Diceros bicornis minor: one gene and its partner. Each later gene encodes a partner of the first gene's protein in a complex. Links are inferred from orthologs where the notes say so. Each region holds a gene or a part of one and is shown in the gene's direction. Other genes may lie near its edges. The genes, in order: IL22RA2 and IL22.

Region 1 (3,914 bases):
ACCTGGCATTATCTTCACAAACCCCTCCCCACGGCAGTAGGTCTACCTCCCCCCTTATCAGTGTGGGCTTCAGGAAGGCGAGGGCAAAGTCTGCCATTTGCTGCCGCATCCTTGCTGCTGAGAACACTACCTAGCACATACGTGGTAGATAGCAGATGTTCGTTAAATGTTGTTGAATGAATGAGCGAGTGAGGGAACGGGGGAGTACTGCCCAGCAGCCATCACTGTTCTGTACTAAAGAGGCCATTCTACCAAGAGCTTGAAAGAGACTACTCAAGGGGAAAAAGACTCCAGAATATATTTCCTCTTTTGACCCAAACAGCCTTTTAAAAAAAAAAAAAATCTTTGTGATTTTCTTATGCTTTAATGTATACTTTTAGTGCCTCAAAAACATGTGGTAAAAGCATTTGATAAGAAAGATGATATAATGACTCACGGGCAAAGAACAGATGACCCAGTTCGTTTGGATTTCAAAGAAGATATGAAAAAGATCTAATGCAGCTCAAAGTCATTGTTCTCCACATTCATCCTTTTAAGGACACGTTTGGTTCGATAGCTCAAAATCTCATCAGACTGCTGGAAACTGAGGGTGGGGATGGGAAAGGAAGAGCATTGGTTGAGTGGGGCCCAGGGCCATGCGGATGGGAAGGGGGTGTGGCAGGGAGCCCTGTGTGGAGCCGGGGGTGCAGAGGGTGAAGTGTCTTGGGGTGGGGTCGGGGGTGTCGGGGAGCCTCGGAGAAGGGAGGAGAAGGAAGAATCGACTGGGGACCCCACCTGCTTGAACCACCGCCAAGGGGCCCTGAGAGCTGCACCTGCCGAGCACCGATCACTCAAATCACCTGTGGCCAAGTCCTGGTCGCTGGCCGCTCCCTGCCTCCAGGGCCAACTCCCCTGGAGGCCTCACAGGTGGCTCACTCCCACCCCCGCCAGCGCCCTGCAGGGTTCCTCACCCTCCCCTGCCCTCTCCTGCCCTCCATCCGCCAAATCTCAGTGTTTTGCCTTTTCACAGCTAACAAAGCCCCAGTCCCAACAAAAACAAACTTCCACATCAGAGTCACTAAGAGCAAATGTTATTTGAAGTGATCCTTACGCTTTTCTAATTCCTCTAAAATAATAAAATAATATAATGTATTAGCAAAATGAGATTCAGCTGCTTCAAGGAACTGTGGTTGAACCCAGGAGGGAGTGTGCAGCGTGAGGACCCCAGCTTCCTCTTCTGTCGTTGAGGGGAACCCCAGTTGTCCGGCAGTCACAGCACAGCCATGACACCCCAACACTGCTTTCTAGGCTTCCTCGTCAGTGTCTCCCTGACTCAAGTGGTCGGTAAGTGCTTCTTTTCTTTTAATTGCTCACAGCTTTGTCATCTGAGCTTGCTCCAGGGACTGTCAGAAATGGCAATGGTGCTTCTCTGGGCTTTGTAAAAATTTCAGTATCTTTTGTCACACAATGGTCAGAGCAGACCTGTGGGCAGTTTCTATCTGCAGCCTGAATAACTCCACGGGACTTAATGAGCTGCTACTAAAGAGGAGGCACTCTAGTGGGGGCAGAAAACTCCAACCACGGCAGAGGTACATCCATCTCTCCATCTCCATCTTTTGCCTTCCTGGGACACGATAGCATAGCGGTTGCCAGCGCAGGCTCCTAAGCCACGCTGAGTCTGGATTTCAACTCTGCTGTTTATTATCTAGGGACCTTGGGCAATTGACTTAACCTGGTGCCTCAATTTCTTCATCTGCAGAATGGGGATTGTAGGTCACTTGAGATTAAATGAGTTAATATATGCCAAGTCTTAGGGCAGTGCCTGGCACAGAATAGAGATCGTAAACAACATGTGAGAATCTGCTGTTGATATTCACTGAGAACTTTTCAGAGCACAGAGCATCTTATCACCCACCACACCTCTGAACAAGGCCTTAGAACCCCTAGTTAACAGAAGGTTACCTTAGTGTAAGGGGTTCAAGTAACTTTCCCAAGACTGGACAGGCGCCCAGTGACTGATAATACAAAACAATTCAAGCCTCTGTCCCCAAGAAAGGTGTGGATTTGAGAAGGTGATACCAAGGTGATACCAAGGACTCAGTTAGCAAAACATGGTGGGAAGTCAAGAGCTACAAATGGTCCTGGCTCCGCGTCTTACAGGCCTGTAACCTTGGGCAAGATATGCAGTGTCCTCAAGCCTCAGTTTCCCCATCTGTAAAGTGTACTAATAAAAATACCTACCCTATCGGTGGTTGTGAGAATGAAGCAAGATGGAAAGCCTTGGGCACAGTTCCTAATATATGTTTAATGCTCTTATATGTCCAATGATCAATGAATGCCAGCCAGGGGAGGAGGAGGAAGAGGGCAAGAAGGAGGAGGAGGAACAGCATCCTTCAGCCTCTCATTGCTCTGCTCCTCCGTGAGCTCCTCTCCCCCAGGCTAGGCTCTTGGTTTTCTGTGGGACGTGAGAGGTAGGCTCTAGGTCAGACTGCCTGAGTGAGAAATCTGCTTCACGATCTGCTGCTGCGCGAGTTCCTCCACCTGTCCAAGGCTTGGTTTTTTAGTCGGAAAAAGGAAGATGACAATAGCACCTTGGCAACAGAAGAGCTGGGCAGATTGACTGAGTCAATGAGGGTGAAGCCCCTCTGTGTCTGGAACAGTCATTTGCTGTTATTGTTGATGCGGGTAGCAGGGGTGGTGTCACAGAAGTGAGAGAAGAAATGCACAGACAGATGAGACAAGGGGCACTGAGCCATCGATCTTCAAGGTAAAGTCAACTCTGAGCAGGGTCTCTAGGAAACTGTGCCTGTCATATCCTGAAAACTTCTGGAATTTTTATGTCCTAAATATGATTGATTAGGTAGTGATTTGGTGAGCAGAATCAGTGGTGGCATAGACTCTGTGGGGGAAGAGGGAGAATCCCCCTCTGCCCTTTCCTTTAAGGTCCTTATGGCTGGCCAAATAATTAACAAGACAGGTTAGCAGGAGAAAATAATACCAAGTTTAATAACATGTATACGTGGGAGAAACCAGGGACACTGAGTTGCTCAACACAATAGCAGAGATTCTCATCTTAAATACCATCTTCAGCTAAAGACAAAGGAGGATGTTGGGGGTGGGGGAGTCAGTTACAGGAGATTACCACTAAAGCACAGTAAACAAGAGTAAGGTTATTATGCAGATTTAAGGCCTCACCTTCCACATTGATAAGTTTCTAGAAATGAGGTCATCTCCCCTCTTCCCAATACAGAGAGGGAGATACCTTTACAAATGGAGATTTCCCATATAAATGTAAATGTTTGTCTGGCAACTCCTTGCAGGGCCATCCAGAGAATGTGGCCAGAGAGATAGAATTTTTGATAAGATGGGCTTGTTGGTGCCTTTCCTATTGTAACATCTATTTTACATTATATTACAGCCATCAGATAGTAACTCCTTCCTGGAACAGATCTTCTACGTCAAATTCTTTAGGCAGTTAGTGGGGGAGGTCAAATGTCTGTCAGAGAAAACAATCAAGGTGAAGAGATATATTTCAGGGTGGCCAAATCTTGATCTCCCACAACTCTTTCCAAGTACACACCCCATTTGATGCACTGGAGGAGATCCAAAACATAAAACAAATAACAGTATTAACATTATTTTGTTGGTATAAATAAATACCTAAGGCAACAGCCCTGTTCATTAGAACATAACAAATCTTGAATGTTCAGAGCTGAGATCATGGGCCTAGGAGTCTTTTCTTCCAGCTTAACGATACTTGAGCAAAGATTTGAAGGAGATGAAGAGATGAGGCATGTGGAAATCCAGGGAAGAATATTCCAGGGAAAGGGAAGGGCCAGTGCAGAGACCCTCAGGTGGGACCACCCCCAGCACGGCGGAGCAGGAAAGGAGACCACTCTGGAGAAGCCAGGAGGAGGTGGAGAAGATGAGGTCAG
Region 2 (3,914 bases), on another chromosome or scaffold:
TCTAGTTTTTAGGTGTTATTTAGAATTCAGTGCATTTTTAATAATTTAAAGTCAACATGTAACTACTATATTGCCAGATGCTTTTCTTCAGACATCCACATATATAACAAAAGTTGTTAGAAAATTTTTGGAAATCTCATTTTGAGACTTAACTTGTGTGTTGTTTCGAATGAGTGCAGATAAAATTTCAAGATGAACTACTACGACGACCGTGTTCTTAAAATACTTGCATGATAAGAAAAATATCGATCAGGTTGTTCAACACTAAGATTGTCAAACTTAAATTGATATTGATTACAATTTAATGAAAAAATTTTAAGGTATGTTTGCATCTACCCTGATTGTTATTACCACTTGAAAAAAGCCACCAAATGGGAGGAAAACTGTGCTTAGATTAGCCAACACTTATTTTTAAAATGTGAGTCTTCTTCAGGATTCAGCATATTAAAAAATGACATAAAATTATTTTTAAAAATGGAATTACCCCCAAGCTGTCATTACTGTTTCTTTTAAAGCAGAGGATATAGGACACAGGTCCTTTATTTCTGATCACCTCTAATGAGATAAGAATCTAAGAAGCTGGAAGGAAAATGAGACCGTGACCAAAAATGCTTACTCAGTTACTATAGGAGATCAAAAAACATTATACCAAATCTGGAATCTACGAAGATAAAGCAATTGTTTTCTCTGAAAACTATGTAGGGTTTAGAAAGTTTCTGGGATTTGTCTGTAACAATACCTTCCGGGCCCTACTGATGACGCTTTAGGGAACGCTCGCCTATCAAGATGGAAGGATAGGAGGTGGCGTTTGTGGCCTCCCGTGGTGGTTAGGTAGTTCTCAGAAGACAGTACTGGAAATTAGATAATTGTTGATGTCATGCTTTTCACAACCAAAAAAATTTGGTGTCGTGGGGGCTATAAAAGTGGCAGCGTCTACCTTCCGATCACAAGCAGAACCGTGAAAACAGGTAAGTGTTTCAGCAAAGTGGGTATGATCGGTCGGTTTGATACTTCTTGATACTTAATTTTTTCCCTTTATGTTGACTTTGCTTCTTCTTCTCTTGATCCCAGGCTCTCCTTCCCTCGTTGCCAATTGCTGGAGTTAGATTTGTCTGCCATGGCCGCCCTGCAGAAATCTGCGAGCTCTCCCCTTACGCAGGCTCTGGCTGCCAGCTCCCTCCTTCTCCTTGCCCTGTGGGTGCAGGGAGGAGCGGCCGTGCCCATCAGCTCTCACTGCAGGCTCGACAAGTCTGACTTCCAGCAGCCGTACATTACCAACCGCACCTTCATGCTGGCCAAGGAGGTACCCATCTCAACTTCTCTCGCTGTCACATCTTAGCTACTTGGAGCCCAAATAGTTGTTAACAGTTTTCTTCAGAGCACATCTAAAATCTTTAAGAACCGCTCATTCATCTCTACAGGTAGACCAGAGATCATTCTCTATGTCTCTTCATAGACTCTTTGGAGATGGGGCTTTACCAAAAGACCTTCCGCCTTGGCCTTCAGGATACATACATTGAGTTTTACCCAAAAAAAGAGACATTTAGCAGCTCATCTGACTATTCATTTTTTTCCTTTCCTCCTGTGAGCATTATTTTAAACTCATGCACACATCTGAATTCTTTCTTTAGTCTTCGTGGAGTGGCTCTGGGGAAAGGGGTAGAGTCCATCTCTACTTACAGACTTTTCTTTTCTCTCCTCGATGTCCAGGCACTTAGTCTTTTCTTCTCTTCCAGGCTAGTTTGGCAGATAACAACACAGATGTTCGGCTCATCGGGGAGAAACTGTTCCGCAGAGTCAATGTAAGCCGCAGCTGTGATGAGCAGGGCAGTGTGCCGTCCGTGGATATGTGGAGCAGTGGGATGGTGGTTTGGGTCTTCTGGATGTCCACTAATATGACTCTGCTACTCCACTTTCACCTGCAGATGAGAGAGCGCTGCTCCCTGATGAAGCAGGTGCTGAACTTCACCCTTGAAGAAGTGCTGCTCCCTCACTCCGATCGCTTCCAGCCCTACATGCAGGAGGTGGTGTCCTTTCTGGCCAGGCTCAGCAACAAGCTAAACCACTGTGTAAGTTCTCCTCCCGGCCCAAGCCTGCCCACTCCTGGTGGCCTGCCCACTCCTGGTGGCCTGCCTTCCGTCCTCCTCCCACTTAGAGCCCTTTCCCCCCCCACCCCACAGCGGGCAGCAACGCCGTTATGGGAGCCATCTGGAATCACAGAGTGTCTGTTTTTGCTTGAATTGAGTCACATTTTGAGTTTATGGTGATGAATGGGGTTGAAAGACAAGGGCAGAGAAGGCTCATTTGTCCCTGGGGAAAAGCATCTCAGGTTATGTGAGATGAGAAAGCTGTTGGGAGCTGTCAGGGAAAACACCTAGATGTGGAAATGGATCCACCAAGTGTAAGTGGATGGAGGGAGGGGATGGGAAAGAGATAAAGAGGGAAATGAAGATTTACTGTTCAGTGGTGGGTGGGCAAAGATTGCGCCCTTTTGATGTCGTGGGAAGTGACTAAATCGGAGGCGTGTGAACTGGATGCCTCTGAACATTTAAAACTATGAAAAAGTTTTAAGTGGAGTGGGCAGAGCGAGGGAGATCCTGTATTTATTGAGGAGGGCCTGCTGTTCACACGAGATGTTTTGTGTACGTTTCTTGTTCTGAGCACGAATTTCTGATGAGGTACAGTTAGGGCTTTATTCTTGACTGAATTTGCATAAACCACTCCACTCTTTCCACAAGCTTAAACCTCAGGAGGATTTCCGAAAGGCGAAGAGAGGTCCCAGGTGAAGGAAATGACTGGATTTTGATGTCCAAGGGAATTCAAGAGCTCAGAAAATCTAGGTCACTGGTGAAATCTAGGTCGTTGTGGGCAAAATTGCTAAGAACTGTAATTGCAGGTGAATTGTAATAATCCTCAGTTAGGGACCGAGGGTCATAAGCTTCAGTGCAACCATGTGAAAACAGCTTCTCCGGTTTTCATTTTGTAGCATGTTGAGAGCAATGACCAGCACATCCAGAGAAATGTGCAACAGCTGAAGGACACAGTGAAAAAGGTACCGCTAGTAACTGTTAATGCTATATCAGTAAATACGAGAGACAAATGTTGTTTTTCTCTTTTTTACTTATTTTCTTTTTTCCCACTGTGTCGTGATTTTTACTTGATTCTCTCACCATCGGGTTGATTATGTAGGAGCCTATGTGCGTAGATGTGTCTATATGTTTATAAATCAATTTCCAAATTTAATTCTAGAACTGGCTGGGAAGTCAGGTTGTCTGGTCTCATCACCCCATGTTCCAGCGTGGCCAGGGGCCCCACAGGGCTGGAAAGCAGGTCTCCTGAACCCACCCAGGCTAGTGCTTTTTCCAGCAGCCATATACATTAGTGTTTGTATTATTAATTCTTGGGGAAATTTAAGAATCCTACTGAGTCCTGTAATTTGAAGAAGGATTTGTTAAAAAACAGAAAAAATGCCTGGGGCACATGTATTTGAAGTGATTTTTGAAGTCATTAGTTTGACAATTGAAAACTTGGCGAAATAAAACCCAAACAACAATAACAGAAGAACTGGACTTGCAGATAGGATGAATTTCTGGGATGACCAATACTTATATTTAATTATCATAATATAATACCCAACAGCTATTGATTTTAATTTAAAAGCAAGAGTGAACAACCCCTGATTTCTTTTACACAGTTTCAAATACAATGAAAATAATAGTAAGGGATTTGTGATAGTGAAATGAAGTCTGAATTGGAAGTGCTCCTTTCTTCCTCTCTCCTTTCACCTTCCTTTCCGGTCTTCTTCCCTCAGTCAAGCCCCAGTGAACATCTGTCTGGAGTAGGCTAGTGTAGGTGTCTACAGCGGATGATACAGTCATTCGACCTATTTGGGGGGGAGGCTCAGACTAGCAGTT

The links.
Region 2: the proteins of IL22RA2 (region 1) and IL22 are in contact, whole or in part, in a crystal structure (PDB 3G9V), measured with the Homo sapiens proteins. The link is inferred for Diceros bicornis minor from reciprocal best matches to the Homo sapiens genes IL22RA2 and IL22. Residues at the interface, in NP_443194.1 of Homo sapiens: Lys65, Ile66, Tyr99, Gly100, Gln101, Arg102, Trp104, Gln128, Glu129, Pro130, Tyr132, Met148, Pro150, Arg151, Thr153, Trp155, Trp156, Glu157, Glu200, Pro246, Met247, Leu248, Asp249, Arg250; in NP_065386.1 of Homo sapiens: Phe47, Gln48, Pro50, Thr53, Asn54, Phe57, Met58, Lys61, Ser64, Leu65, Asp67, Asn69, Thr70, Asp71, Val72, Arg73, Leu74, Lys162, Gly165, Glu166, Asp168, Leu169, Met172, Arg175, Asn176.

What each region holds. Positions count from the first base shown.
Region 1 is NC_080762.1:1,502,913-1,506,826, forward strand, and holds the start of IL22RA2 (interleukin-22 receptor subunit alpha-2), read left to right. Parts: upstream 1-1,066; 5' UTR 1,067-1,262; coding exon 1,263-1,323; intron 1,324-3,914. UniProt on the Homo sapiens protein: Isoform 2 is a receptor for IL22. Binds to IL22, prevents interaction with the functional IL-22R complex and blocks the activity of IL22 (in vitro). May play an important role as an IL22 antagonist in the regulation of inflammatory responses.
Region 2 is NC_080756.1:2,851,089-2,855,002, forward strand, and holds the start of IL22 (interleukin-22), read left to right. Parts: upstream 1-1,117; coding exon 1,118-1,303; intron 1,304-1,736; coding exon 1,737-1,802; intron 1,803-1,925; coding exon 1,926-2,069; intron 2,070-2,986; coding exon 2,987-3,052; intron 3,053-3,914. UniProt on the Homo sapiens protein: Cytokine that plays a critical role in modulating tissue responses during inflammation. Plays an essential role in the regeneration of epithelial cells to maintain barrier function after injury and for the prevention of further tissue damage.